Linked DNA regions of Coturnix japonica. The main gene of each other region encodes a partner of the protein of the gene in region 2 in a complex. Links are inferred from orthologs where the notes say so. Each region holds a gene or a part of one and is shown on either strand. Other genes may lie near its edges. The genes, in order: RAB14 and RAB11FIP1.

Region 1 (15,745 bases), on a different chromosome or scaffold from region 2:
AGACCTGAACCCACAGCATCCTTTGTTTGTCAGCAGTGAAGTTTTCCAAGTCAAGCACTCAGTTCCCTACATTTCATTTTGAGCTTTTTAACTACTCAGGAAAAGAAGGGTGGTAACCTTCACACAACATGACATTGAGTCCTGGTGAAGTCAAGGGGACAGACCAGACAGTGCATAAAGGCTGAGGTACCCAAAGAGCTTCCAGAGAACACAGTGATGATAGAGACAACCAGCAGCACCTTACCTGGTAATGTCATAGACCATGAGAGCTCCTGCCGCTCCTCTGTAATAGCTTCGTGTGACAGCCCTGAATCTCTCTTGTCCTGCTGTATCCCAGATCTGTAGTTTAATTTTTTGGCCACTAACTTCAATTATTCTTGTGCCAAATTCAACACCAATTGTGTGGGGACAATCCGCCATAACTGTCATGAAAAATAAGAGGGAAGATCAGTTCTTTCTAGTGCACTGTTCCTGCTACAGAGATCTTACTACCATCCCCTTTCTGACACCCTGAACACCTTCCTTCTCAAAGAAGGCGGCCTCCTTACAGCTACAGTTACTGAACTGTATCACTTAATGAATCATTTCCTGGACTGCTGCTTTAAGAATAAAAAGATTCCTTGCCTTCCCCAGTGCATTTACAACTGACTCCACTTATACCAGGAAGTATTGAGTCAGTTGATCCTCAGCCCTGTCCCCGCAGGAATGGTTGACTCTTTTAACACAGTAGGATAAGGAAGCTTTAGGGAATTACCAAGATTGAGTTAAAAGCCTGAAACAGCTGAGAAACAAATACTCAAGTTGGCTCAGACTGAGTGAAGTCTGTGATCATCCACAGAGACAATTTAATGCACAATTATCATACAGCAAATCAAATACTAAAAGGTTTCTGATTGATTACAATAAATCCATCCTAAGATGCTCATCTTCACGAGCAGTGAAGAAAATAGAGAAAGGTTGAATACCACCTTTATTCAAGAGTCCCATAGCAGAGATGCTTTATAAACCAGCTTGTTTGGCTGTGCCCCTTCTACATAACACACTGTAAGAACAAGTCACTGCCTGTTCATAAACGGAACCGAATGCAAAGTAGCACTTACACAAGTGGGTTTTCTGGGGTTTGGATTCAAAGCAGCAGTTAAAAACTCACTTCCTACTACAAAACAGGAACATTTAATCTGCAGCATGCACACAGTTACTGCACATCTAGAGTAGTGCAAGAGAAAGACCAGCTCCATACTAACAGATAGCTACAGACTTGTCCATTGAGCGTGAGCTACATGGGAAGTCGTAAGAGTTTGTAACAGCCACTGCAAACTCAATGCAATGCACATTAGTAGGAAGAGCTGAAGCTGATTCTTAGTTAGCTGTGATAGCGTACATGAAGAAATATTACAGTTGAGATGGAATGCTGAAAGCCTTGACCAGCATCACGCAGGAGCAGTCCTAGTGCCATGAGTCACAGCAGCTACAGAGAATGACAACGCTTAAATCTGCAGTCCGTGAAAAGTGAATCCCCCACCCCTTCAAGTACTTAACTTTTAAAACCTACAGCTGAGTTTAAAGCCATACCAGCATTAAATACACACATTTTAGACAATAAATCTCACTGTTTCATATCACAATTCCCTGGGAAAGCTGTGAAAACACATGTACCTTCCCACTCTTGGACAGGACTGGCATCATTCTTGCTATTACTACAGCAGCATTTTACTTCTATAATTGCAGAAGACAAAACAGAAGTCTGACCAAGCACTGTACAAACCTCCCCATGTTATGATATAGATCAAGCTCACCTATGACAGAAGCAGAAAGGCAGGAAAGAGAGATGAAGTACAGCAGTTTCAATGAGCACTGTGTACTGAAATACTCACATTTCTTTTCCGTGAATTGGTGAAGCAAACAGGACTTTCCTACACCCATGTCCCCTGTTACAGAAAGAGCAGTTAGAGCAGACACCGTGTTGTCGCAACAAGCACATTCTGCTCATCCCACACAACACACATACAGGGACAGGCAGCTGCTCCTTTCCCAGGTCTAACATGCAACTTCCTTGCTTCCTACACCTGGCTACAGCCTTCAAGATTTATCAGTGTTACAGCCAAACTGTAATTTTGGTTGCAGGTACAGAGCTGCAAGCAAGGGTGGAGCAGAAAATACACAAGTGACGATAACTGCATTACTGACTTCACACTTGTGTTTCACAAGGTCAGAATAAGGCTGACCTGCAAGAAACTGAAGCACAACACACTGAGTGCTCACCCTTCTCCTGTGTTACTTGCAACTGCAAGTAGAGGCTATCAAAAAATATGGATAACCACCCAGCCCCACTCCCAGCAGCACTGAAAGCATCTGCATTCATTTGGATCAGCTGCTAAAGCTTTAGGGCAAATGTGGGGATCTATGAGGGACTGAGGCAGGATGAGGAACTGCTCAAAGAGCTAATGCTATACAGCAAGCAACACGAAACAGAAGTCAACAGTAGTTTGGAGGCACACTGTTACACACAGATACTGGAGCAAACATATCTAAGTACTTACCAATAATGATGTACTTAAAGATGTAGGAATAGTTGTAAGGTGCAGTTGCCATCGTGGCACTGAAAAACAAAAACAGAATATATCAGAACTGCTACTTGTTTGAACTGAACCCATTTCAGCCAACTGAGCCTACGCAAGCCAAGGAAAAGAAAAAGAACACCACCTTCTCTCTCCCCAGCCACCTCCTCATTCACAGTCCAAGTGTCCCAGCATTCAGCAGAACTCCCATACCATGTGCTCAGAAATCCCATCATCAATAACTCTGAACAGAAGCAGGTTCTTAGTATTGACACCCATTCAGTATCATCAGGAAAACTTTCCAGCCACTTAAGGGCTCCAGCAGGCTCTTGGTTCAGATGGTCACCAAGCTGACCAGCACACTGTAGCCCAGTAGCTGATGAGAGCTGGAAATAAAGCCTGACTCCAAAAAGCAATTATCACAAAAGGTTTTATAAAACCAGTGGTTTGGAACAACAACCAGACACCTTTGGGACTCACAACAGAGACAAACAGCACAGCTTGCATCAAACAGCTAAGAATTACTTCAGACAGCACAGGAATGCTGCAGCAGCATTGACTGCAGCCTGTACATCAGTGGAGCAGCCCAAGTCAGAGAGAAGATGCTCAGGAAATCAGTCATCACATCTGTGGCTCCACCTGCAGAGCGTGATCATCCCAAAGCTTCACAACCCTTTTGTTTCTTTGTTTGAAGCAGCACAGCTCACTGATCTTATAGGATTTATTCACTAATCTTTGCTCTGTAGAGGATTTAAACGATAGCGTTAAAATTTGTTTGGGATAAATACTTTCAACACTGTGGAGTTTTCCTACATGTAGGAGGAATTAGAAGTGGCCTCAGCTGTGTAAACTGACTTATCACTACTGTATCGCATATGCAGGATTGCAAGTCTACGCTGCTCAGATTTATTATTTTATCTCAGAGCAAAACGACAGCTTTTGTGCCAGACTTTAATTTAAACAAGACCTAAGTGCCATCATTTAAGCAAACAGGAAGTTTCTATTAGGAATTCACCATTTCCTGTCCTGCTCCTGCACGGCAGATAACCAGCCATGAGCACAACTGTACTGCTCACAGACAACATGGCCCCAGCCCAGGAAGGTCCTTCCAGTCACGCGTCATCCACATGACAAACCAAAGCAGCACCTCAAAGAAGTGAACACAAAGAAACTCACAAGCTTGTACCTTTTTCAGAAGTACTTTTCAGTAGAAGGTAGTGTTTCCTCAGCCAACATTGCTCCATAGCTGTGAATCACTGTCTTAAGGAAGGTGACTGCCAACAAACCTCACTCACTGTGCACAGGCTGACAGCCACAGCTCTGCACAGCAGAGGTTTGGAGCAAACACCCCTATCTAGACCATGGAGGAGAACAACTCCAAGGGGAAGGTGAGAAACATCCACCACATGCCAGATCTGCACCTTCCCATTGTGTTTTCCTCAAGATACAGGAGTTCCAGAGGCCTTCTAGCCCAAGCAGCAAAGTACCTCCATTAAGTCCTATGCAGACACACACTGTTTTATTAATCTTATTAATTGTATTAATTATTTTAAGTGCTACATAGTCAACAGCAACAACAAAAAGTCTTGGAGAGTCATTCTTGTCCATGTTGGCAAAACCAGAATTCCCAACTAGGTGCTGCATGGCTCCAAGAACCATCATTTCCATCAAGTCAAGGTGATTTTACACCAACTTCTTCCATGGCCACGTAAGAAATGGCACACAGACACCCCACACCTCTGTCACCCCCAGGCCCCGCTCAGCACAGCTGCTCACAGTGCTCTGCAGCGCTGCACAGCAGCACAACTCACATTTGTGTTTCAGATGTGCCGCCCCAACCTGCCATCCAGCCAACAACAACTTCAGCCCATGTTTCCTACCAGCGAAAGAGTCCAGAGCTACAGTGTCAGCTTCAGTTCACACAGTTTGTTTCCAACACTGGCAAAGAAAGACAAGTAGCTGCACTTGAGACTTCAATGTTCAGGAGTTACTGCAGAAACAGTGTATACTTCAGAACACACAAATGTATCTTGCCCTGTCCCTCCTCTCCACCAGCCCCAGTTACACCTCCTGACCCATTGCACTACTTCTAACTGCTCTGCTGCAGTTCATTCTGATGGCAGACAAGGCTAAACCAGAGTACTAACCTGAGTACTATGAGGTACGGAAGTGAATAAAATTAAAAACAAAAGAGCTTGAGTAGGCCAACTTATATTTGCAAACCCTTTGGGAAGACAGCAGAAATGCAATGTTCTCCCCCACCCCCAAAGAAAACACATGCTACAGCCACTACATAAAGCTGAAGAGACTGAAAGCACCAATAGGAACCTAGTTTGACAGCTCTGCACCCTGTTAAGGCTATCTATCAACCTACATAGGTTTTCTGAAGGGAAAAAGGAGCTACCCAGCAGCTGTGAGATCCATCCTGAGCAAACCCCGATGTCCATCTCACACAGCACCCATTGGCTAAGGAATGCTAAGTACTCAGAAATACCCCACTGTAGTGCTTCCAAACACCTGACAATGATGCAGTGCACAAGGAAGAGGTCGCAGTGCCTATGCTTTTAAGAAGCAGCGCTGGAAGGTGGAAGCCTTTTTATTAAAAGCATGGGCAGACTGGGAGCTCTGTGCAGGCTGTGTCACAAAGTCTGGAAGGAGTCCTCACTGCTAAATATACCGCTCTGTTTACTTGACACCATTTCTATGTGCTGAGCTATGCCAACTTTCATTATACTCCTTATTTAAAGAGGTCTGCAACTGCACTACTTCGATATGAAAGAAACTGTCACTGCTTTGTAACATCTGCATCAAAATCAGTTCCCACTTCAAAGCAAGAGTTAGCAAACCACATCCTGCACTTGGTAACAAAGCCTGCTAAGAAACGGGTTGGAAAGGCCAACACCCTTCAAGCCATGTCTCACTGTGAGAACATCACCTTCACTCTTAGTGAGATGAGGCTGCTCTAAGGGTCTCCCCTTAGACCACAGAGCTCACATATTAGAGGAGATGATGTGCTTGCTGTCTGTAACTCTGGAACTAAACTATTCCACTTAGCAGCTAACAGCACATTAACCTACTTCACAGAGCAGAACCTTGTAACAACATTCCAGACTTCTCACAACTTCACCCCTTTCTTTGTTTCACTAAACGGACACACAGAACAATCCCTGCTGGAAGACAACCAAGTTCTAAATATAAAGCTGGATCAGAAGTGTGCAACATACAGGAAAAGAAAAAACCCATGACAACACAGAAGCCACTGAGAATTCAGCCTTAGGAAACATCCAAGCTCAGCACTCGCTACAGGCAAAAGAAGGAAGTTTAGACAAGAGCAGTGCACAGAAGAGCTCAGTAATCACAACAAATGTTAGCTACATGCTAATGCAGAGGGTTCATGTATTGTCAATAGGATCAGTTATCTGTAGAAAGTGGTGCTCTACACCCCTTCACAGCCCTCTGCTCCCTGTCATATTCCCAATACAGGGGTTCAGAGTGTTCCTCCTTGGTGAGCAGGAGTGGTGGCAGAAGGAACTGCAGGACTGAAGGAGTCCCATCCAAGCCTGCACAACCTACCTTCAGCCACAGCTGATGTTACACAACACAAAGTTAACCAGGCATCCATTCACTGGTAACAGAAAGCAGAAGTAGTTTTGTCTGGGAGCGTGGTCTGCCTGCCATCTTTCTTCCAGGAAAACGTGCCAACTTAGAACAAGTTCCAGCTCCCTTTCCCGAGGTAACGCTTCCCCAGAGCTTACAGCATTATTTCAGGGTGGCAACTGGCCAGAGGATCATGCTTCACTGTACACAGATCTCTGCTAGCTTCAAACCCTGTACGATTAATTTCTGTGTCACAATTAGGACAGGAATTTTTACCGTGTGTTGCTGTAATCCATTCTCCATACATCTTCTCTACCTCTTTATAATAAGAGAAGGCAGCCTTAACAAGATATTGGTGATGCTGGTATTTCTTCCTCTAAACAAGAAGCACCAGGCCAGTATTTTCACATCCAAAACTGCTTCAAACACCAGCATCTACCAATATAAACTGAGATAAGGTGGTTTGCTCTTATTATGAGTGTTATGGCAATGCACCCAGGATGAATTGTTAGCATCATACCCGTACCAGCTGTCACGAGGCCCATGCAGCTCCTCCCAGCCCAGCTGAGGGACACAGCCAATCAGGTCTGCAATGAGAATCATTTGCATAGAGAATCTTCACAACTTTATGCTAAGTAAGAATCTGTGTGTTATTAGGAGGGACTGGAACCTGTCATCACTGCATGTGCTGAATACCATTACCTGCTCAGCCCACATAGAGATGATACCTCAGCCTCAGGATGGTCTCAATATTACAGGCTCTCCTTAAAAACATACCAATGCAGCCAGACAACCACTTCAGTTAGTCTGGAGCCAGAGAGATTTGTATTTTACCCAACCACCCGGGAGGTTTGGGGCACTCCCCATGGATGTACTTCAGCAGAGGAACCTCAGAGGTCAAGTTCAGTCCCACCTCTATAGAAGAGAACACCACCACATCATCACTTCCAAATACCACAACTCTTTAAGGATATCAGAACTTGCATTTGTTCTAAATCCTCACACAAAATGAATGTGTTGTGTGACTCTGTGATAACCTTCCTTCTCTGCATATGTACTTGGGCGTCAACTTGCAATGAACACTAAGAACAGCAGGGGACAAAGGAGGGAAATCCAGGGAAACAATTGTTTCAACTTAAACTATTCCTCTGATGAAGAGTTTTGTCAAGCACATGAAGCAGAGCAGTGTAAATGGGATCTTCCTTTAGCAGGCTGCTGGAAGCACTGTCTGTAACTGCACCACTTGTGGTCTTCTGTAACATCACACTGTGACACTGGAAGGCAGTAATGGTTTTATCATCAGTTGATACACCCAAGTGGTGAATCCCCATCAGTCAGCTGGCTATAGGAAGCTGCGGGGTACCACTAAACTTCATTGTTGTTCTATTACACTCAGGACATTCAGATGTTCCTAAATATACAAACACCTCAGCCCTCATAAACAGAATGGCCTAACAGCCACCACTAATTCCCCTTGGTTCTTATTTTTGTATGTTCATCTGTAAAGAGCCCAACATGTAAGACTGACCCCAGAGCAGTGCCATCAGCAGCCTGCTAGCAGCTCATGCTCTCATAACATCACCTCTTGCTGGCCAGTTCCTTACTCATTTCTCAGCTCTTCCAGTCATCCTCTTTAGTGCCTCTGACTGGACTTTGCAGAAGCATCTGATGATGCACAGGACGATACATTTAGCTGAAGTGGTCTTCAATCAGAGCTTGCAGTCAGGCCTCTCATAATCTGCTTCTGAAGACCACTCTGCAGCTCCTCATTTCTCACACGTCCAGTCATTCTCTCTAGAAACACAAAAGGCCAGCAGCTGCTGGGCTGAGACTGGTGAGCTTGCAACTGAGCAGGACCTTCTTTCAGTTGTTTTTGAAGGAATATATTTGATATATACGATATTTCATGATCACATTACATACACTTCCTAGGCCTCAGACCAAGTTAGGATTTTGGAAGAACACACAGGCCAAGCACTCTTGGTTTAAAATAAAGAGAACATATGCCACCACCACTTTGATTCACCTCAACAGCTGTCCAGCTGCACACATTGTGGTGGTAAAGTCCTTTTTCACTCTACCAAGCTCTGCCATCTTGTTTCCTAAGCTTCCCACACTTAGATGCTGACCTCACTTCCGGGTTAGCAGACCTCACTTATCCAATTCTCCTCTCTCTATAAGAGGCTCCCACCTGCAACACATACCTACATAGGAGGCATAGGAGCGAAGTTCCAGAGATCTCAGATGAGCGTAGGGTCAGTATATACAAAAACCAGGAGATACTGTCAGATCGTAAATCAGAGCAGAAAGCAACTGCTGAGAGCCATTACCTCAGGAAGGAAGGGGGAAACAGTTTCAAAGAAACACTGAGGTCCAGCTCCTTTGTTGCAGAAACATACAGCAAAGCCAGAAACAATCCTAAGTTCCATTTGATGCACATGAGCAAGCAAGCAGCTTCAGAAGTTCAATTTACATTCAGAATCCCAGCACTGCCAGTATAACAGGTTTGTTTTCTGCTGTCCTTCACAATCCCACTCTTTTTCTCTTTGGCAGTCCTTAAAACATACGTATAAAGAGCTTCTTCCTTCAACTAAGATCCATGACTTGTTCAAATCCCTACAGGAAACTACTAAATTCTTTGTTAAATCATATTAGGCTACATGATAATTATTTTCTAAGCCCCTCAGGACTGGGATTTCCTTCCCATTCCCAAGCAGTGCCCAAGAACAAGAAGCCCTCAGTCCTAACCATGACAGAATGATCCCAAGACAAACATCCCACACCACAACGCAGGGTAACCATAAGAGCTACATTTCTGACTCGAGGTTCAAAGTGATTTAGGAGCTGGACAATCTACACCCAGGTGTGCTTCTACACCTGCAAAATCACAGCAGCACAAAACCACCACATTACAGAGTCCTCATCTAGGAACCTCCAGAGCGGAGCAATGCAGCCACGCCAAATCCCAACACAGACACGTTTTTCCTGCAAGGACAAAGCAGTATAATTTCAATTCCAGGCACAGCTATGTAATGCAAATAGGTGAAAGCAAGGAACTGCTGCTTTGGCAGCAGAAGCATTGACAAAAGGAAACGAAGCTGTTGCTTCCACAGATAGGAAGTAGCATAGATTCACCCCATGAGTTATTTTTCTATCTAAGTTCATTACAACAGCGCAGGCCAGGATAAGCAGAGATAACACCGCACATCAGCCACATTGTGTAACACACGCATACGGCAACCACACTGCAGCAATCACCGAGCTCACATATATGCTCACATACACCCAATGTGCTCCAGCACCCGCTGATGGCGCGGTGCACAGGGAGGCGGCGGCCGGCAGCGCACAGCGGCCTGGGCCTGCTCCTGCTCCCGGCTGGGCCTGCCCGCTGCACCTCCCAGGCCCCACGTCCCTCCGCCCTGAGCTGCCGCCGCCCGAGCGCGGCCCGCAGCGCCCAGTGCGGCACAGAATAGACCCGCACACAGCACCGGGAGGACGCGGAGCCACGGGCCGGGCCGGGCCGCGCTGCCGCCCAGTCAGTCCCGCGGGGCCTGGCGCTCCGTGCCGCCCCTCCCCAGCTCCTCCTTACCTGGGCTCAGGGAGCGTGTGGCTGTACAGCGTGGTTCTGCCGGCGACAGCCCGGTCCCCCTACGGGCACTGGAGCGCTCTGCTCGTGCTGGGCAGCGGCCGGGCCGGGTCCCACCTCACTCCAGCGCTCCCTCAGTCTCTGCTCCGCTGGCTCCACTGCGCCCCCATCACCCCCCTCCTTATCCAAGATGGCGGCGCCCCTCGCACGGGGTTTCCCCTCCCACTCTGGACGGGCTGCGGGGCTGCACAAAGGTGGGCGATGGAGGCGGGAAGGAGCCAATGGCGGGAAAAGCCCCGCCTCACAACGGCGGCGTGGGGCGGGAACGGAAGGGAAGGGCGGCAGGACTGAGCGGCTCCTCAGGAGAAGGGGCCGCCTCAGGTGGGCCGAGCTGTGTGTGAGCGCACAGCGCTGTGTCTGCTGCTCCATACGTGGTGGATGAAAGACTCAACATGAGCCAGCAGTGCGCTCTGGCAGCCCGGAAAGCAAATGGGATCCTGGGCTCCATCAGGAGAGGGTGGTCAGCAGGGATAGGGAGGTGATCGTCCCTCTCTACTCGGCTCTTGTGAGGCCCCATCTGTTGTACCGTGTCCAGGTGCGGAGCCCTCAGTACAAAAAAGACATGGAGATTTTGGAAAGGGTCCAGAGGAGGGACAGGAAGATGATCAGGGGGCTGGAGCACCTCCCCTATGAGGACAGGCTGAGGGAGTTGGGTTTGTTCAGCCTGGAGAAGAGAAGGTTGCGGGGTGACCTCACTGCAGCCTTTCAATACCTGAAGGGAACTTACTCCCAGGAGGAGAGTAAACTCTTGGAAAGGGCTGACAATAGCAGGACACGGGGAAATGGTTTTAAGTTAAAAGAGGGAAGATTTAGGTTGGATGTTAGGGGGAAGTTCTTCACTAGGAGAGTGGTTAGGCCCTGGAACAGGCTGCCCAGGGAGGTTGTGGATGCCCCGTCCTTGGAGGTGTTCAAGGCCAGGTTGGACGGGGCCCTGGGCAACCTGATCTAGTAAAGGTGTATGTTTGGTGGCCCTGCCAGGCAGGGGGTTGGAACTACATGATCCTTGAGGTCCCTTCCAACCCGGGTCATTCTGTGATTCTGTGTTTCCTACAGGGAACTCCTAACTGACCGCTCTCCATGCATCCCCCCCGCTGGGGATCACTCAGCATAAGCTAAATAATAAATATATCGGTAGGAAGGTACAAAATTACCATGTATTATTGCTGTCAGCTCACCTCCTTCCACAGCTCTTCTTATGGGGGTCTTACCTTTCAAATAGGTAACGCTGTGCAACAGCGCTGCTCTCGAATTTAGCAGTGCCATATATGGAGGGATTTGGACGAGAAAAATAGGTCAAAACGAGTCAGTGAGGATGAATTGAGTCAGTCAGGACGATTTCCACAAGAGGGAGTCGTTAAACACAAAACGATCGGGCTATTTTGACACCGTTACAGCCTGGTTTTCTGTCTGTCAGACACCCCGGTGCCTTTACACGCTCGGTATTCCCCCATATATTACCGACATGGACTAAGCTTTTTCTATAAAGAAGATGATTTTCAAAGGTCTTTAAGTTATGAAGTGTTGCTCCCTCCTGTGGCCACGGATATGGGCAGGATTACTCAGCAGCTCTCCAAACCACCTCAGTGTGAGGGCCGGGCTGAGAACACGCTGAACAGGGCGAAAAGTAGCTTTAGAATATACAAATAATCATTGTTACTTCTTATTTGCAACAAAGAAAGACGGAAGCCATTATCTAACCACAACAGAGGCCATCTTTTTCACGTGAAACTCAAACTTTGGGGCATATTTCATACCAAGCTGCTGTGTCGCATGAGCTGAAAGGCAATGCAGACTCGCCTTAAAGGGTCTGGTTTTGAATCCTATTCCAGAAGATTGGATAATGGCATCTTTACTGCTTTGCTTCTCGTGTCCTTGTGATCACATGAAAGCTGGCAGCAGTTTCTTGAGAGCGGTGATTGAGAAAAGGCTGAGTGCAGCTCATTCCTCCTGGACATCAGGGCAGAACCCAACAGCTGTCATTAAATCCCACTAACTTGGTAACAATAGCAGACGGCTGGAGATGAAACGCTGCCTATCCTCCCACCCTTCTTTGTGGGTTCCTGCCAGTTCAGTGCAGCACTTGGAATCCAGTTCTGAGTGTCTCTGTCTGCAGGCTGGCATTAAAGAGCAGCACCCAGACCATTCTGCTCCTGGATTTACTTTTTCTTACTTCTCAACATGGCTGTAAATAAATCAGGGGAAAAAGGGGAGAAAATCTACAGCCGAGACCTTTCAATGCAGCACCTCACAGCTATAGGAGGAGATCTTATGAAGAAGTGATACATAAAACACAACTGAAGGGTAAAAAAAAACCCGCAGCTGGCATTTATATGATGGCATGAAAGCAGCAATTCACAATGGTTAGGAAAACCTAAGTGGCCCAGCAGCAGTAACACAGGCTGGGAGGATCAGCAGGGAGGGCAGCTGAAGTAATGCATGTCTGCTTAGATGTGGTTTCTCCTTTTTGTTCCCCCAAGCCTCAGCTTCTTTTTCTGTCTGCGTCCAAATGTCTGTGGGCAGGAACAGAAAGCAGAAGCCTGGGATCATCCAGGAGCCATTCTGCAGTACTGCAATCTGTGTGAGGTGGGGCACGTAACACTGGGCCGCTCTGAAACGACTGGTGGGTCTGGTTGGATGTTGGGATGCCAGGTTCATCTTCTATCCCTCGCCATATCAGCTGCCTGCTGTACACAGCCCCAAACCTGCACATCAGACTTAATACCAGTGCGAGGATGTTTGTCACAACAGCAGTTCTGGTGTCAGTAGGTGCCAATCAGCCCATGCTCCCCATATGGCAGTGAATGTGGGTTCAGAAGGAAGTAAATCCCTGCCCACTTGTACACAGCAGGACCATCCCTGCAGGATTCCAGCACTGCAGAAGGCAGCAGCTCCAGCTGACAGCGGCTCCTTTGATACCAACTACAAAGCTGAGCAGCACTGCTTTACCTGAGTTATCTGGGAGATCACACTTAAATGTGGATGCCTGGTTCACTTCTTCAGCTTAACACCGTGCTGCATTCCAGCCTTTTTGCGAGCAAGCAGCCTGTGCCTCGGCACAACCCCATCACTACAGCAATAGAACTGTGCTGACTACCAGCAACACCCTTTCAGAGACGGGGCAGCTGTGTGGCTCCTCAGTACAGCAACGTGCCCACAGATGGTGCGAGCTGTGAAATGCTGGATGACTCAGTTACCATCCACAAATTCAGATCAGTGCTGCTTCCCATGGGCCAAAAGCACTGTCAGGAGCCAGCAGCAGGCACCTTCACGTGCTTACTTTGCCTTCTTTCCACTGTCTCCCAGCAGCTGCTGGTGCAGAATGAACTCTCCCAGCACAGGGCGCTGCAGGGTCCGCCTGTCCCGGTGCCGGGATGAAGGGCCGCATTGTTCTCCGGGCTCAAAGCAGCCTTGTTCCCGTGGGTGTGAGCAGAGCAGCCGGCCTGCAGGGACTGCGGGATGTGGGAGCGCCCGGCCGTGCCCGAGTTCTCTGCCGACCGCGTTCCAGCCCCGCGCTGCCCTCGCCTCGTGGCGGAGCACGAGGAGCTGCTCGCCATGTGACACGGAGCGAAGGAACGGCCCTTCCCTCCTCCACCCAGCGTGGGGACGGCCCGGATGCGCCCCGGGAGGCTGAGATGAATGAGGTAAGTGAGGAACAAAATGGTGGCCGAGGGGCTGGGCTGGGCGTGGTGGGGGAATCACGGCCGGGCAGAGCTCCACGGGGCCTTGGCCGGGGCGGGGCCGGGCTGGGGCGGGGTGCGCGCTGTGACCGCCCCCGGGGCTGCCCGGCTGTGCCCGGCCCCGCGCCCCGCAGCCGCGTCCCGCCCGCCCCGAGCGCCAGCAGCAGGTACGGCCGGCACCGCGATGGGGACAGCGAGGAACATTCCGGCACGGGGAGCGGGGCGAATCCTGGGGGCACCGTGGGGCCGGGCGGGCGGCAGCGGCAGCTCCGAGCCTGGGGCTGCAGGGGGGATGTGGGGATGTGGGGAGGGGCGTGGGGGGAGCGGCGGGACTGAGTGTCAGTTCCAGGCTCGGCTGCTCCGGAGCCGGTGTCCCGTGTGACGCTGCTCCGCAGTCTGACCTGGTGTTACACTGACAGCAGCACGGGGCGGATCGCCGGCCGCCTGCTGAGCATCTGCCACCGGAGCGGCGGGTGTGCGTGCTTCTGTGCCCGGGGAAACGGTGTTTGAACGGGAATTGCACTAATGTGGATACTTAAAGTTATTTGAAATGTTTCCTAGGAAAAGTGTTTAAAAAAAAAAAAAAAAAAGTTATGGGGATGACTTGTTTCAAGGAGGCCTCATTAGTAAGTAGATCCTCATTGAATAAAGCTGCTTGGAATGTTATTTGCTTTTGGATGTGGAACAAAAATCCGCCTTTGCTAACAAGGATGACTTTAGCATCAGTTTCCTCTAAGTCTCCTTTTTCCTTACTGATCATTGCAATTCTTTCGGTTTTCCACTACCAACTTTGCATGATGCAAGTTTCTCAGTGAAAAAATGTTTCCTTTGCTGAATTTCTGGCATGCTCAGCTCAGGGTCCTTCTGCTCTGGAGCAGAACATGGCTTTCAAGTACCTCTCATCCTCTAGGTTCCCCCAACTACCCTGCAGTGTCTGTGTAACTATGCTGTATCTGCCCAGCAAATGAATTGTTGTCCAAGTATTCAGGATCAGGTCTTGGCTACTGCAAATGGTTTCCCTCATCTTGTCCGTGAGGTAGTTTATTCCACACTCCGTACCACGCAGTGCAGAGAGCTCTAACTTTAACCCATAAGCTTGCAGGGAGAAGCAGAACCCAGCTCTGCTTGATGTCCTCTCCATGGCAGGCTGTGCCGTGCCGTGCTTCAAGGTGTGCCTGCGCACTGTGTTGTACTCTGCTCTTCACCTCCAGCACAGACAGTGGGAATGCTGTCCTCTGCACGGATGCTCCAGTCCTGGGTGTTTATCTGTGCCATCCATGGGCTCCACTGCATTGCTTTCTTGCTGGAGCAGCATGGAGTCGAGCTTCATGGATTTCACTAAAATCCAACACAGTGATAGGGTAGGAATGAAGTTACACCTTGTAGGTATATGTGGATGGTGGACTTAAATACTGCGTTTAAATACATGGATGGATTTTCCAGTGGTTGCCTGAGTGTTCAGATACCGCTGTGTTCTAGTGAGAACTGGGCACATGCAGGCGGTGAAGGAATGTCTCCTGCCCTCAGAAGAATGGATGCTTTCTTCAGCTTGATGAAATTCCAGAACTACAGGGAAAATAACACGGAAACTGAACCTGCAGACAATCTCTGGCTGCTTTTGAATGTCTAAAGTGTGACAAAGCAAAAATGCTACTGCTGGTTTCAACTTTGATTTTACAGGCACGAATCCAACCTGTTTGTGAATTTGTTCCTTTCATCAGCAAAGCAGGGATGTGAGATAACATTCTGCAGTCTGGTTGCACGGTTCTGTTACCGAGGGCAGTTGCTGCCAGCTCCAGCTGAGAGGCTGCGTGACTTGTTCCATGACAGGGCTGTTTTTGTAGATACTTTATGTATTTCTGTGAGTGCCTCAGCTCTCCCCTGAGTCAACATTGTGGCCAGCAGTGCCACTGAGGGGGGATGCTGCGTCTGGGAAGAAGAGCTGGTAAGAGCCTTGCTATGGTGCACAGAGCAGCAATTAGCTGTTTTCAAAGACCTGTGCTGAGCCAGTGCTTCCTCAGGTTCAGATAAAGTCACTTTTTGTATTCTGGGTGTTGTACAGTGTGCTGGTGGGAACGAAACCTTTCCTAAAATAGCCGTCTGTCTTATTTGGTGCTCAGGATTTCTATCTGCTTTTAGCTTGCTTTAGGAATGCAAGCTTTCCAGTTGAACTCCACACTCAGTCCTGCTGCTGACATGTTACTCATGCTTATGAAAGAAGATGTTGGATTGGGATCTGGAGCTCCACAAACCATTTCCCCCTTTTG
Region 2 (15,732 bases):
GCCCTGCTATGGGGGCTCTGCCCTGCTATGGGGGCTCTGCCCTGCCATGGGGGCTCTGCCAAACCCACAGATCTCCCTGGGGGCCGATGCCAGGGATGAGTTACACGTGGTGGCTGTGGAGTCCAAGAACACCTATGGAGACCACAAACCAGTGCCCATCGCTTCCCTGCGTGTCTCAGTGCTCCCCATGGTAAGCAAAGGGGATGATTTAACCTGGGTTATCTGTGGGCTTTTTCTAGCTCTGGAATTGTCCAGGTTGTGCCTGCAAAGCTCTCTGTCATGGGGGCTGGGACTGAGTGGGTTTGCAAGTGCTCTGAGCTTTGGCTCTTTGCAGATCAGTCTCAAAGGTCTGGAGTTTGTCCCTCCTGTCACCTTCATGCTGCAGTGTGGAACTGGACCGGTCTATCTCAGTGGGCAACACGTTACCTGTGAGTTCTGGCTGGGTTATGGGGGTGGCTGGCAGCAGGGCTGGTCCTGCAGTGGCTTTAGGTCAGTTTCAGCCCTGGGGATGGGGAGCCCTGCCCTGCAGGGAGCACCCACAATGAGGGGCTGGGTCTGACTCTTCTCCTCCTTATAGTGGAAGATGTCCCCATGTGCAAAGAGCTGTTGGATACAGATGGAGGTGATGAGGACAGTGCCAGAGCAGAGCAGGATGGAGACTAACTGCAGGTCTGGATGGGATGGATTCTTGCACAAGGACACGATGGGCCTCTGCTTTGGATACATCCTTCTCTCCATCTCAGAAGATCTTGTTTTGAATGTGCTGTTGCTGGGATGCTGTTGAGCTGTGGGTCTCAGAGCATTCCATTAAGCACCACCACCCCTTCCTTGCAGTGGTACCACATGGATAGTCTTAAAATGAGTGTGTTGTGTCCACCCTGTGCAGCCCTTTGCCAATCAGTCTGCAAACTTCCTTCGTAATGATGATTTTGTTCTGGCAGGAATTACTCTGACAATTGCTTGGATAAACAGAGTAAAGTTAAGCTGTAGCCTTCACAGCAGCCCAGGGAAATGCAGCCAAAGTCTGTTCAGAATAAGCAGCCATTGAAATAATCAAATTAAAGCTCCTGATTGAGGAAAATTGCCCAGATCAGTTATTTTGCATGATAGCAGCTGGGAATTTCTCTGCAGTGGAATGAGGAGTGGAGATGGTTACTGAGCTGGTGGCACACTGGGCTTACAGCAATGGGATGGGTTTCCAAAGCTGCCCATTGAGCACAGCAATGCTTCCCCATTCACCTTCCATGCTCTGGGTTTTAATTCCCCAGCCTAATGTGAGAGCCATCCTTGCTGCTCTAAATAGGCAATTAAAAGGTGAAAATTTCTCCTGCTGTGTGCTGGCAGGAGAAGCAAACAGGTAAAGGGCAATTGGATGGTGATGCAGTGCCTTGTCCTGCAAGAAGCAGCTCTCTGCCCCATGGGTGTGTAGGGACAGAGCTGTTACTCTGCACAAACCATAAGCCTTTAACTGGACTTGGCTGCAAAACAGTCTGGTCTTTGTGTGGCTGCAGCTGTGCCCTGTGCTTGGCGGTGCCTTCACCCTTCCTATGGCCATATCATGGCAGCAATACAGAGAGGGCTTTGGCATAACCATGGCAACTGCCAGGTAACTAATAGATGGCACTCAATGCCATGGGAACCAAAGGGGGGTGAGCAGGGTGCTGGGCTCTGCACCTCCATGGTGCCTTGGTGTGAGTTGAGCACAGAGGGTCCTGGTTCCATCTGCCTCACTGTGACACTGGGTACAGGTGAGGGTTGGGGCTGACACCAGTAGTGCAGTCATTCAATACACAGCACAGACTTCTGAAATCCGTGGAGCGGGTTTTGCTTCACTTAGTCGGACTCAAGAGTGAAACAGCAGCTGATACAGGGAGAAACGGTCAGAGTTGTGAGCTTCTGTGTGGAGGAAGAGTGGGAAGAAATGTATGGAAATAGCTCAGGAAATTAAAGTTTGCCTGCGGTGTGGTTTGAGATGATTCACTGGGGGGGGGGAGGGAGCAGGGAGCGGGGCTGTGCTGCACTGGGGATGCGCTCCCTATGGGCAGAGCCGGCGCTGGTGAGTTCCCTCCTTGCCCCCCGCTCCCCTCTCTCCCTTTGCAGCTGATTAAACGAAAGTCCGGCGTGGCTTCGGGGGAGAACAGCGGGGACGCTTCAGTGCAGGCGCTCGGATCGCAGCAGAGGAGCGGTGCAGCCCCGGCTGATGCCAGCCCTGACGTTTGGAGCTCCTGGCTAATCTCGTTACGGGGACGGATGAGTAGAGTGCAGGCTCGTGGGACTGTTAACAGTGCAAAAGTAGCAGAGCATCCTTATTCGTTTACCCATTAACGTCCTTTGTGATTTCCAGAAGCATTAGGAGCTCCTTTCTGGCACAGCTGTGATTCCCTCCTGCACAAGGGCAGTGCTGTCGGAGCGCTCCGTGTTCTGCTGCTGAGCTCGGGCTGAGGTGAGTGCATCCCTCCCAGCTTGGGGCCAGAGCTCCTCTTTCTCCTTTCTCTTCCCTCCATGGAGCTGTTCCACTTTGTGCTGCCTTCCCTGGGGGGCTGCTTACCAGCATCACCTCTTTTCTGACCCCCGTGCACTATTCCCTTGCCTGCAGGCTGCAGCAGGGAACTCACAGCATGCCCATCAGAGCCACCTGATCCACTGGGTTTTGGGCACCTGGGATATCCCACAGCCACCCCAAAGAGGCCATGGAGCCCGGTGGTGATATTACCAATGCCAGCACCTATGGGCTGGCCCTGCAGAGCCACCCTAATGGCAGCACGCAGTTCACTGGTGTGCAGCTCATCCAGTCCTTTAAACCCCTCATCATTCCCTGCTATGCTCTGGTGGTCCTGGTGGGCATCTTTGGCAACTACTTGCTGCTCTACGTCATCTGCAAGAGCAAGAAGATGCACAACGTCACCAACTTTTTCATTGGGAACCTGGCCTTCTCGGACATGCTGATGTGTGCCACCTGCGTGCCCTTCACCCTGGCGTACGCCTTCAACCCACAGGGATGGATCTTTGGGAAGTTCCTGTGCTACTTTGTGTTCCTGATGCAGCCCATGACAGTCTATGTCTCTGTGTTCACACTCACGGCTATCGCAGTTGACAGGTAAGAGGGTACAAGGGGGTGACATAGGGTCCTCACTGTGGGCAGGATGGGTGCTGTCCCCTTAGGCTGCTTGGTGGTGTGGCTTAGGGTGCTCAGAGCCCCTGAATAAAAGTTCCACTGATCCAAAACAGGAGGCTGTGCTGTCCCAGCAACATCATTGTGCCCAACTCAGTAATGGTGCAATGACTGCCAAGGGAGCTGATGCCTGTGTCTGCAATGTTCCCATGCCACCAGCTCCATCATAAGCACAGCAGGGATGGGCTCCAGCGGTGCCCCAGTGCAGCTTTCTGCCTCCACCTCAGAGCAGAGAGTTTTTCCTCCTGGGTTTTCATCCTTTGCTGCACCAATTTGCATCAAAATTACATTGTGTTCTGTCACCTGGATGGAGAGTGCTTGTGCTTTCTGAAATGGACACAGGCAGGACCTGATTGGGAGGGGGGTAGGGGAGATAGTATGTATAAAAACTGTTTCCATAGATACATGGCTTCATTAGAGAAGCTGCACAAGCCAGGCAGAGCCCAATCCACTGGTATTGGGGGAGAGAACCCTAGAGCAAAGGGGGAAGGCAGAAGCAGGGGAGGTTGAGGTGGGATAGCTGAGAAGACACTGTGGAGTTGAGCTGGTGGGCTGAGATATCACTGAGGAGTGCTTGCCCTGTTCTTTTGCTCTTTATCAAAGCTACTTTTTGGGGGTGAAAGTAGAAATTTGAGCTCTTCCCACTACAGAAGCATCCAGGAAATTATGGTCCTCACCATGAATTGTTGCTGTGCTTCATCTTGTGTGGATTCATGCCAATCCCTTTGGCTGTGGCTAGAGCTCCAGCCCATGCTGTGCCCTGACCACAAGCAGAAGGTTCAGTCTCTCTATCAGTGGGACACAGCTGTTACTCAGGGCAGAATGGGAAGGAGCCATGTGAAATCCCAGCATTGCCGTGATGATGAGCTGGGGTGAGAAATGTGCCCTAACCCTCCAGCCCCACACTTCAAGGGGTGTTATGGGGTGCTCTCCCCCACAGGTATTACGCCACTGTGCACCCGCTGAAGAAGCGCCTGTCGCTCACCAGCTGCATCTACGTGGTGGGGGCCATTTGGCTGCTGTCCTGTGCTCTGGTGGCCCCTGCAGTGGCCCACACGTATCACGTGGAGTTCCAGCAGCAGGGCTTTGCCATCTGCGAGGAGTTCTGGATGGAGCAGGAGGAGCAACGCCTGGCCTATGCTTATAGCACATTGATTGTCACCTACATCCTGCCTCTCTCTGCTGTCTCCCTGTCCTACCTGTGCATCTCAGTGAAGCTGCGTAACCGTGTGGTGCCCGGGCACCCCACGCAGAGCCAGGCTGAGTCTGACCGTGTGAGGAAGAGGAAGATCTTCCGCCTCATTGTGCTGGTGGTGGCTGCTTTCGGGGTTTGCTGGCTGCCAATCCACGTCTTCAACATCATCCGCGACATCGACATTGACCTCATCGACAAGCACTACTTCCTGCTCATCCAGCTGCTGTGCCACTGGTTTGCCATGAGCTCTGCCTGCTCCAATCCCTTCCTCTACGCCTGGTTGCATGACCGCTTCCGTGGGGAGCTGCGTAAGATGTTCTCCTGCGAGCCACGCATCCTCCCTGCCAGCCACTGTGCTGCTGCTGTGCTCTGAGCTTGGCACCAACACTGGGATGTCATTGTCTTGGATGAATGAAATAAGGCCCCAGGAGAGCCGGGAGGCGTTTGGTTGGGCTGTAGTTAGATGTCTGTAGTGCTAATTTAATAGTACGACTTTCATTAAATCTGTGATTGAGTGTTGGGAATGGAATTTCTCATGAGCTGGTTACACCTGGTGTGTCTCCATGTGTTCCAGCAGGATGGCCGTGTGTGCCCTGCGTGCATGGAGCTGTGCCCTTATTGAGTCATAGGGTCATTTGAGCTGGAAGGGACCCTTAAAGGCCAACTGCTCCAACTCCCCTGTCATGAATGGGGGCACCCACAGCTCTATCAGATGCTCAGAACCCCATCCTGCCTGACCTCGCGTGTCTCCAGGTTGCACCTCACCACCCTTTCTATAAACAGCTTTTTCTTTATACTCAGCCTAAATCTCCCTCTTTGAGCTTGAAACCATTTCCCATTGCCCCATCACAACACACCCTGCTGAAGAATCTGTCCCCTTCTTCCTTCCAGCCCCTTTAGATACCAGGAGGTGCGCTCAGGTGTCCCAGTAGCTCCGTGTCCCCATGACCCACACACCCCTGGAGCTGTCCCCATTCCATGCAGAGTTGCGGGCAGCAGAAGCCGTGCTGACCCTTCCCTGGCTCATTTGGCTGCTGCCTGGGTGCAATTTGCTGAGGGCTTGAGCCTCAATTTGCACCGCCTGTGATTGCACATTGTGTACCTAATGGAGCTGGCTATTTATAGCTGATGGGCTCTGCAAGGCAGGGATACAGCTCCGGAACTGCTGCTTTCATACTTAATTCTGCCTGCTGGAGGGGCTGCTCACAGCCATTGCCCAGAGGGGAGGGCAGAAATGTGGGGCAACCCATGTGAATATGGGGGGTAACATGGATAGTGTGGGGGGGAGAGGGTCCAGTGTGGGGTTCACAGCCCAGGTGGGTCCTGTGTCCTGAGGAAGAAGAGGTCCTGGTGACAGGGATGGATGAAGAAGGGGTTGGAAACATTCCTGCATACACCTGTGCACAAACATATACCTGTATGGACATGTACCTATACACACACCCCTATATGCGCACACACACATGTACCTGTATGGGCACATGCCTATGGAGACACATGCAACCCTTTACACACACATCTGTATGCACACCTGTACAAACATACACCTGTGCACAGACCTGCACACACCAGTACACACATACCTGTACACACACACACCTGTATACACACATCTGCACACATACAGCTGTGCACACACCTGCACACCCACTTGCACACCTGCACACACACACCTGTATGCACACACACACCTGCACTCACACACCTGCACTCAGACCTGCACACACACACCTGCACACACACACACACACCTGTATGCACACACACCTGCACACACACTCACCTGCACACACACACCTGTATGCACACACCTGCACACACACCTGTACACACACACACCTGCACACACACACCTGTATACACACACCTGTCCTCACACACCTGCACACACCCGTATACAAACACACCTGTATGCACACACCTGCACGCACACACCTGCACACACACACCTGTACGCACACACCTGCACTCACAACTGCACACATACACACCTGCACACACACCTGCACTCACACACCTGCACACACAAACCTGTACACACCTGTATGAACACACACCTGAATGCACACACCTGTCCTCACACACCTGCACTCACACACCTGCACACACACCTATATACACACACATCTGCACACACACACCTGTATACACACACACCTGTATACACACACACCTGTACTCACACACACCTGTACTCACACACCTGCAAACACACCTATATGCACACACCTGTATACACACACCTGTATGCACACACCTGCCCACACACCTGCACTCACACACCTGTATGCACACACCTGCACGCACCTGTATGTACACACACCTGCACTCACACACCTGCACACACACACCTATATGCACACACCTGTGCACACACCTGCACACACACACCTGCACACACACACCTGCACTCACACACCTGCACACACACACCTGCACTCACACACCTGCACTCACACACCTGCACACACACACACACCTGTACACACACACACCTGCAGTCAGACCCCTGCACACACACCTGTCCTCACACATCTGTCCTCACACACACCTGTATACACACATACCTGTACTCACACACCTGTACACACCTGTATACAGACACACCTGTACTCACACACCTGCACTCTCACACCTGTATACACACACACCTGCACTCACACACCTGCACTCACACACCTGTACACACCTGTATACAGACACACAGAATCACAGAATCACAGAATTACCCGGGTTGGAAGGGACCTCAAGGATCATGTAGTTCCAACCCCCCTGCCTGGCAGGGCCACCAAACATACACCTTTACTAGATCAGGTTGCCCAGGGCCCCGTCCAACCTGGCCTTGAACACCTGCACTCACACACCTGCACTCTCCCACCTGTATACACACACACCTGCACTCACACACACCTGCACACACACACACCTGTACTCACTCACCTGCACTCACACACCTGTATGCACACACCTGTACACACCTGCACACACACGCCTGCACTCACACACCTGTATACACACACACAACTGCACTCACACACCTGCACACACACCTGCACACACACACCTGTATACACACACATGTGTACGCACACACACCTGCACACACATACCTGTATGCACACACCTGCACACACACCTGCACTCACACACACCTGTACACACACACCTGCAGTCAGACACCTGCACACACACCTGCACACACACCTGTCCTCACACATCTGTACTCACACACACCTGTATACGCACACACCTGTACTCACACACCTGCACTCACACTCACCTGCACACACACACACACCTGCACTCACACACCTGCACACACAGCTGCACACACCTGCACACACACACCTGCACTCACACTCACCTGCACACACCTGTATGCAAACACACCTGCACACACACACACCTGCACTCACACACCTGCGCACACACCTGTACTCACACACACCTGCACATACACCTGCACACACACACCTGTATACACACACACCTGTACTCACACACCTGTACACACCTATATACACACACACCTGTACACACCTGTATACACACACACCTGTATACACACACACCTGTACACACCTGCACACACACACACCTGCACGTTGCACACTCAAGCCCCGCCCACCACCCACAAGCCCCGCCCCCTCTCCTTAAGCCCCGCCCACACCACACATCTCGCGAGATCTCAACTCGGGGCGCGCACAACCCCGCGCCGGTAGCGCTCGGCTCCTCATCTCCCCTCAGCCGCCGCCATGTCGGCCCCGGCCCCGCGCTGGGTGCCCACCCACGTCCAAGTGACGGTGCTCCGAGCCCGAGGGCTGCGATCTAAGGCAGCCGAAGGGCAGGGCGGCAGCGATGCTTACGCCGTGATGGCGGTGGGCCGCGATAAGTTCTCCACGTCGGTAGCGGAGCGTTGTCAGGGTGAGCCGCTGTGGAGAGAGGAGGCCACGTTCGAACTGCCGCCTCCGCCGCGGCCTGTCGTGCTGCGCCTCACCGTGATGCACCGAGCGCTCGTAGGCCTCGATAAGTTCCTGGGACGGGCCGAGGTCGATCTGGCGGCGCTGAGGGAGGACGGAGGGCGGCGACACAGCAGGTGAGGGGATGGAGTGATATGGGGGGTCGTTGGGGGGCTCTGAGTGGATCCTGAGGGGCTTAAGTGGATCCTGAGGGGCTCTTGGAGGGGCTCGAGTGGATCCTGAGGGGCTCAAGTGGATCCTGAGGGGTTTAAGTGGATCCTGAGGGGCTTAAGTGGATTCTGAGGGGCTCTTGGAGGGGCTCTGAGTGGATCCTGAGGGGCTCGAGTGGATCCTGAGGGGCTTAAGTGGATTCTGAGAGGCTCTTGGAGGGGCTCAAGTGGATGCTGAGGGGCTCTGAGTGGATGCTCAGGGGCTCAAGTGGATCCTGAGGGGCTCTTGGAGGGGCTTAAGTGGATCCTGAGGGGTTCGAGTGGATCCTGAGGGGCTCTTGGAGGGGCTTAAGTGGATTCTGGGGGGCTCTTGGAGGGGCTCTGAGTGGATCCTGGGGGGCTCTGAGTGGATCCTGAGGGGCTTGAGTGGATCCTGAGGGGCTTGAGTGGATCCTGAGGGGCTCGTGGAGGGGCTCAAGTGGATCCTGAGGGGCTCTGAGTGGATCCTGAGGGGCTCTTGGAGGGGCTTAAGTGGTGCTGGGGGGGCTCAGAGCACTGCTGGGACCTCCTGAAGGAACCCGACCATCCCATGGGGCTGCAATGAGGACCCAACGGTGTGGAGCTCAATGGGGCTCTGCTCTCTGCTGCTGGTGATCACAGCGAGGCCTCAGGGCTGTGCTCAGCTTTCCTCTTTCAATATTTCTATGTGAGCGCCAGCAGGTCGCACAGAGAGCAGTGGAGTTGTATAGAGGAGCTCTATACTGACAGCACATTGTTCAGGTAGGGAATGAAGGCGCCGTGCTGCCAACACTCATGGATTTGTCTTAATGAATGTTTAATGGCGTGTAAGAGCAGGTAATTCGGTGTTATATGGGCTCATGTCACTGCTGGTGGTGCTGTTAGGTGTCTCCTTTAATAAGCAGTGCAGCTCTGTGTCATACTTACACCTTTGGACATACACTGCGGTGCATTGGAACCCCTGGGGTGGTTCCTGGAGCTGTGGGGTAGTGGCAGCACTTAGTGATGTGGTTTGAGGCAGCACTGAGTCACCTTCCTCCTGTGCTGTTCACACCGGTTTGGTCAGTGCTGGGTCTGGGTCGTATTTGTTAACAAAGCTTGTGAAGTCCTAATTAGCACATAGCTATCATTAAGTCCTGTGTCAGGCTGTAATGTGTTTACGCACAGAGCCTCGTGCTTACAGGCAGCAGAGGTCAGCGAGTCAGCATGGGCCCCTTTCTTTGTATTGCTGGTTGTCTGCAGCTGAAATAAAAGCCTTCTATTGATTCATTTTTTGCCTATGCAAATACAGGTAGCTCCTGGAAACTACACGATGCAGAATGGAATCTGCCCTGTGCTTCACTGGGATCGAACATGGGCACAGAGGGGTGCCCAGGGTGCTTCCCACAGCCTTCACTCATTCTCTTCTGCTTTGTTTTGTTCTTCAAAGCAAATTGCTTTTTCTTGTCCTCCTCCATTGCTTCCAGTGCACCCTGAAGTGTGAACTCGATGGAGTTCTGCCCATTGGAGGCAATGTCAGTGTTTTCCTTCCTATCACCTCGGTGAAGGGAGGACGTCTGCAGCTCTCTCAATAGACACAAAACAAACAAATACATCAGCATACAGCACTGATAACTTCCATTTGCTGGCATTACTGTGCTTTGAATGTCATTAAGGAGGACGATGTGTGGAGCAGGAACTGAGCAAGTGCAGTGCAGGCAGGTTGTGGGTTTGCAGCTTGGTTCCCATTCTGTGCTGTGTTTCAGAAGGGGATAAGGCTCTGCCTGTAGCAAATCTCCTGGTTTGACCCAGTTGTTCTCTCATAGAGCTCAGTAGAAGTCCCAGACGTTCTGTAACACTTGTTTTGGATCTTGCTATGTTGATTAGGGGGTTCTTTAGCTTAAGAAGCATTACCATAGCTGCTGCAAAGGAGCTGGAATGAAAGGTATGAGGGTGTGGGAGGCATGCGTAACCTTTCTGGTACAGTGTCAGCAGATCCTATTGCACCCACTTCAAAGCCTTAATCTGAATTTCAGGAAGCCTGAGGAAAAAATGTGGCAGAGCTGACTGACAGTGCATTCCATGTGTTGGTTTTGAACCCAAACAAAATGACAGATTTCACTAATAACTTTCTCTTCACAATCAGAGGTGTTTTCACATGGTTTCTGCAGTCATATGACAGTGATGTCACTGTAAGATTTAAAGGTTTTGCTTTTTTTTTTTCCCCCTGCACTGTAGGCTTTATGCATTCTTCTAACATCAGCACCCTGTGTGAAGCTATTGGTGTGGCTGGGGAGCTTGTTCAGGAAAGAAATCTCATTGTTTTTTTTTGCAGGTGGTACAAACTACGCTCCAAACCAGGGAAAAAGGAAAAGGAGAGAGGAGAGATCGAGGTGGACATCCAGTTCATGAGGAGCAACATGACGGCCAGCATGTTTGATCTGTCCATGAAGGACAAGACCCGCTCCCCATTTGGCAAACTAAAGGACAAGCTGAAGGGGAAGCGGAGCAGTGGGCTCTCAGACACAGCCTCAGCCATCGTACCCAGCACGACACACTCCCCAGCTGATAGTGAAGATGAAGCACCTGAGAAGGAAAAGAAGAAATCCAAGTTCAAAACGCTGTTTTCCAAACCTGGCCTGCGGAAGAATTCCCTCTCACAATCCATGTCGGTGCTGCCCACACCTCAGCCTGTGGATGCCGGGGTCAGGCACAGGCCCAAGGATTTCCATCTGGAGTGGGACGATGAGGACTTGGAGACCTCTCCAACCTCAGAACGTGAGTATGCAGCCTGCGTGCATGGGGCTGTACTCAGAGCCATGGAATCATAGAGGCATCTGAGTTGGAAGGGACCTTTAAGGGTCATCTGGTCCAACTGCCCTGCAGTTAACAGGGACACCACAGCTCCATCAGGGTGCTCAGAGCTGCATCCAGCCTGACCTGGAATGTCTGCAGGAACTGAGGATAGCAGATATTCTTAAGCTAAGCTTACCTTTGGCTGGCTTAGAAGCCATAAGCCTAACCTGCACATGGCAGTGGTGTGGTTCCATAGTGGATATCTGGTGGTTGTAGGTGTTGAAAAGCTCAGTGTGCAGAGGGCTGACAGCATTAAGGTACCCAGAGGATGTGGCCAGTCTAGTCACACCCACATTGTTGCTGTGATCAGTTAACGGGCTTATATCAAGCATCAGAGAAATCTTGAATTTCTTCCTATTTTTTTCTTTTTTTCCAGGAACCTTTGAAATTCCTCTAGACGAGGAGTCCTCTCCTTCTGTATTTAAACACATTAAAGCAGCGACTTTAGACACCAGGCAGCTAAACCAACCAACCCCTGGCAACACCAAGAAAGAAGGGCTCTCTTTATTTAGTGGCCTTAGGTCTAAAAACGATCCAGTTTCCAAGTCCAGTTTGTGTATCAATGGCAGTCATGTTTATATGGAAGAGAAGGACAGCACTCCAGCTTCTTCCCCCTCTCCTCGCAACTTCAGGAAGAAGCAGGTCTCTGCTTCAGAAGAAAACCTCTTTTCCAGATCTACTAAAGGACCTGAGGAGATGGGAAGAACATCTCCAAGCAATGCTATGTCTGGGTCTGCATCCTTGGAGACCTTTAAAGCTCTGTCTTTGCCATCATATAAATTGCTGAGCGGTGAGGAATATGTAGAAACCAGTGTTCCTGTGAGTGTTGAGGTTACCAAAGAGACCAAAAAAACGGACCAGAAAAAGTCTTCCTTGCTTTCCCTGGTCACGGGGAAGAAGGAAGCAGCTAAAAACAGTGATGCTGAAAGTATTCCGGACAGAACTCAGAAGGAAGAGGAGAACAAAGCTGCAGAAGAGAAAAGCGAACAGGAGACCAAACGTCTCGAACCTCCAACAGATTTAAGCAGAGGAAATCCTTCAGCAGACAGTCAGCCAGAAGCCTTCACAAGTAAGCAGCCACTCAACCCCTTTGAGGAAGAACGGAAGCCTGAAAAAGCAGCAGCACCAGCAAAGGCCAAAGCTGTCAAACCCAGGTCAGTGGCTTTTGCTTCAAATGCTGACATAAATAGTGACATGCAGTGGTTGTGGGTTTAGTTAGGGTGCTTCCTAGCACAGAGCAGCACTTCTGAGCTTGATGTGCTGCATGCAGCAGCATCGTGCTGTTCAGGGGGAGGGGGATTCCTGAGGGCTTGGAGCCATTGGTCACAATCATTTTGGTTATTATTTGGTTATTATTCATATTTTTCAATATGAAACAATAGATTGACATAGGGATATTACCAATAAGTGATGCCAAAATAGCAGCTCTCTGAGTGCAAGCAGCTTTTCAGGTTCTGGGGTAAGTTTCTTGCTGGCTCTTTTGCAGAAACTAACATTCTTCTGTCAGAGCTGCGTGGCTTGGAACACATCCAAGGGCTGAAATATCAGTTCTAACACCTCTGCTTCTCCCTTCTATTATTTGCTGTGGTCTTCACAAGAGTTAACCTTGGAGCCCTTCTGCTTTTGACACGGTTCACAGCAACAGCAAGTGTATCTATGGCATTTGTATTCAAGGCTTTTTCGGAAATTCTGCTCCTTCATATGTCTGGTTGTGCATATGTGACTTCATATATATATCTGTGTATATATGTGTGTGTAAATACATTTGTCTTACTAATAAGGCTATGTTTTGCCTGCCTCTGACTCTCTGTTTTCAGTGCTTCTTCCTGTTTAAACATCTTGCACATGAGGTGTCTTACTAATGGAAGTGCTTGGGATGCAGGAGTTGAGGTCACGCTTTAAAAGCAGACGTGGCAGTAATTTGAGTGTGCAAATGGCAGCAGGAGCATTCTGACATCAACCAGGTGTCTGTGAGGAGCATTTAAGCATATTTACTGGTGTCTGTTAGATAGGCTTCTGGCTCTCTTGCTGTGTAATTGATCTCCATTGTCAGGCAGTGGTGCAGTCTGGTGCTGAAGCTTGTCTGTTGCTGCTTCAAGTTGCATCCACAGGTGACATGTGAGTTTTTTGTCCCTTTTGCAGACTGGGCCTGTCTTCAGAGGAGGAAACCAAAGCTACTCTTCCTACTCTTGCACCTGATTCCCTTCCTGCTTATCTGTCTTTGCACCACATCAATAGTGACAACAATCCCTTTGTTTCTAAAATGGAACAGAAAGTACCAGACTCTGAGGGCATTACTTCTGCATCTCTTCCTTCTTTCACTGCAGAGCATTTAAGTGGCAAGAACCCCTTTAATCCCAGCTGGGGCAGGGGAGCTCCAGCCCTGGGTACTGACCACGTTGCCATCCCTTCATCCCATCACCTTGCAGCCTCTGCTCCCAAAGGGCAGATCTCTCATAGTGGCAATAATCCTTTTGCTTCTGAATGGGGTCGGGATCCTGAAGGCTCTGATGCATATGCTTCCACGTCTCCTTTGCCTGCGCATTCTCTCCATTCTGGTGGTCATTTTAATGGCAATAATCCATTTATATCCAAGACTGGATGGGGTGTGGATGTGCCAGGTCTCACAGCTGTCACTGCTTCTTCCCCTGTTGGCCTTCCTGGTGATGGAGACAATTCCTCAGCAGGACTTTCTGCTGATCTGAGCTACTCTGCTGTCACTGCTTCAGGGAGCTCTTTGAGTGTGGCTTCAACTCGTAATGTAAATGCTGTAGCAAACCCTCCTGGCACTCCTGTCGACCCTGGTGTGGCTTCAAAGAATCAGTGTGATTCTGTACAGGCGCAGGTGGGCACTTCTTTAGATAGAAGCAAGTTAGTGCTCTTTGCAGAGAACAGTGCTGAGCAGCCACCTTCCTCTGAGAGTGAGCTCAAAGAGAAGCAGGAGGTGTGGAGAGAAAAGAGGAGGGAGGAGCATTCACCCACATCGGATCCCCAGGATGCTCCTCCTGATACAAATGAGTCATCTCCAGTAGGATCTGTGAACCCAGTTCACAGTGCTCACACACAGCCTCATCAGGAAGCTGCTGCAGGGAGAGCTGGCAGGGAGGGGGCTGTCACACCACAGCCTGCACCACGGCTGTCTTTAATGCAGGGATATCCCCGAGTTTCTCAGGCTGATGAGTTAAGTGTTGGGCCGTCAGGGGAGGGTGAGGGCTCTGCATCCGGCCTTGCTTTACAGAATGAGAAATCCCCTGGTGCTTTTGGGTGCCTCCCTCAGAATGGCTCAGTGACAGCTCTTGTCCCACCAGTAAAGCTTAGAGCTGACAGCAGTAGCAGACGTGTGAGAAAGGAAGGGGACGAGGATTTGTTTGATTCTCTTACAAATCTGAAGTCTGCCCTTTCAGTTACTGGAGATCACAACATGAGGCTGGCTGCCCTTCCTGCTATTCCTGAGGCAGGCTCTGATGATGAGCTGCAGGGTGACTGCCAGGAAAACCACGGCGTTGCTGCAGATGATCAGAACATTTCAGAGTCTGTAGGTAGAAAACCTTTGCATGAGAACCAGCAGGAGAGCTCTGATAGCTCTGCTGCAGGCGGAGTAACTCTGTCTGCAGGAGGAGGAAGTGCTGTGCCCGTGCTGCCTGCAGGAGGGCACGGCCATGAAGTCAGTAAGCAGGCACCTGACTCAGGTATGACGTCTCATTCCAGTGAGCACAGTAGTTGTTTTGAGAAGCAAGTAATAGATACTGGTGTTGGGGAGCGTGCAGAGAGTGACTTCTTTGAGCCTTCTGTTTCCTCTTCCTCCCTGTCGTGTTCTTCCCAGCCCTGCTCCTCCTCTCGCTCCCTCTCCTCTGACACCCCAAGTCAGAGAGCAGAGTCTCCGAAAAAGCCAACAGCAGAGGGCTTCGCTGATAAAGCAGGAAATTCTGGCAAGAAGAAGCTTCTTCAGGCATGGGTTTCACCCTCTGAAACGTACCCTAACCAAACTCAGCAGAGTGGTGAAACCATGTCTCCTAAGCACAGGTGAGAGAACATGGGAACTGCATCGAAGGTATCTCGGTGCTGAGAGCCTTGCTTTTGATGTGAGCTTTGTCTTTTCTTGCTCTGTTACAACCAGCACCACGAATCCTGAGCAGTTAAAACACCTTTTATGGCACAAAGTCAGATCAGATAAGTTGTACTACCTGTGTGTCCCAGTGTAGCAGAAGCATTTGGTATTTTGCAAGAACCACAAGTATGCTCTCATTAAGAACTCACTCACTGGTGCACAAAAGATGGCAATAACAGCTGGTATTACTGCCCTCTCCTGTGGGCTGACCTTGCTTTTCCTTTGTGATGTTGTTCAGGATATATTTCCCTTGTTACTCCTTTATCTCCAATGCC

Evidence for each region.
Region 1: the proteins of RAB11FIP1 (region 2) and RAB14 are in contact, whole or in part, in a crystal structure (PDB 4D0G), measured with the Homo sapiens proteins. The link is inferred for Coturnix japonica from reciprocal best matches to the Homo sapiens genes RAB11FIP1 and RAB14. Residues at the interface, in NP_001002814.2 of Homo sapiens: Glu1252, Ile1255, Asp1256, Asn1257, Leu1259, Val1260, Met1263, Pro1267, Asn1268, Leu1270, Arg1271, Ile1272; in NP_057406.2 of Homo sapiens: Leu28, His29, Ile44, Gly45, Val46, Glu47, Phe48, Gly49, Trp65, Arg72, Arg74, Ala75, Val76, Ser79, Tyr80.

The regions. Positions count from the first base shown.
Region 1 is NC_029532.1:6,859,563-6,875,307, forward strand, and holds the start of RAB14 (ras-related protein Rab-14), read right to left. Parts: upstream 9,951-15,745; 5' UTR 9,745-9,950; intron 2,600-9,744; 5' UTR 2,593-2,599; coding exon 2,541-2,592; intron 1,929-2,540; coding exon 1,875-1,928; intron 423-1,874; coding exon 245-422; intron 1-244. Other genes in the region: GSN (gelsolin), read left to right, coding at 13,173-13,442.
Region 2 is NC_029537.1:3,596,480-3,612,211, reverse strand, and holds the start of RAB11FIP1 (rab11 family-interacting protein 1), read left to right. Parts: upstream 1-8,059; 5' UTR 8,060-8,122; coding exon 8,123-8,463; intron 8,464-9,216; coding exon 9,217-9,276; exon of another isoform or gene 9,277-9,283; coding exon of another isoform or gene 9,284-9,351; intron 9,352-10,828; coding exon 10,829-11,271; intron 11,272-11,725; coding exon 11,726-12,503; intron 12,504-12,835; coding exon of another isoform or gene 12,836-12,842; exon of another isoform or gene 12,843-13,485; intron 13,486-13,491; coding exon 13,492-15,372; intron 15,373-15,732. Other genes in the region: nucleoplasmin-like, read left to right, coding at 71-190, 335-428, 578-663; prolactin-releasing peptide receptor-like, read left to right, coding at 2,691-3,097, 4,113-4,740. UniProt on the Homo sapiens protein: A Rab11 effector protein involved in the endosomal recycling process. Also involved in controlling membrane trafficking along the phagocytic pathway and in phagocytosis. Interaction with RAB14 may function in the process of neurite formation.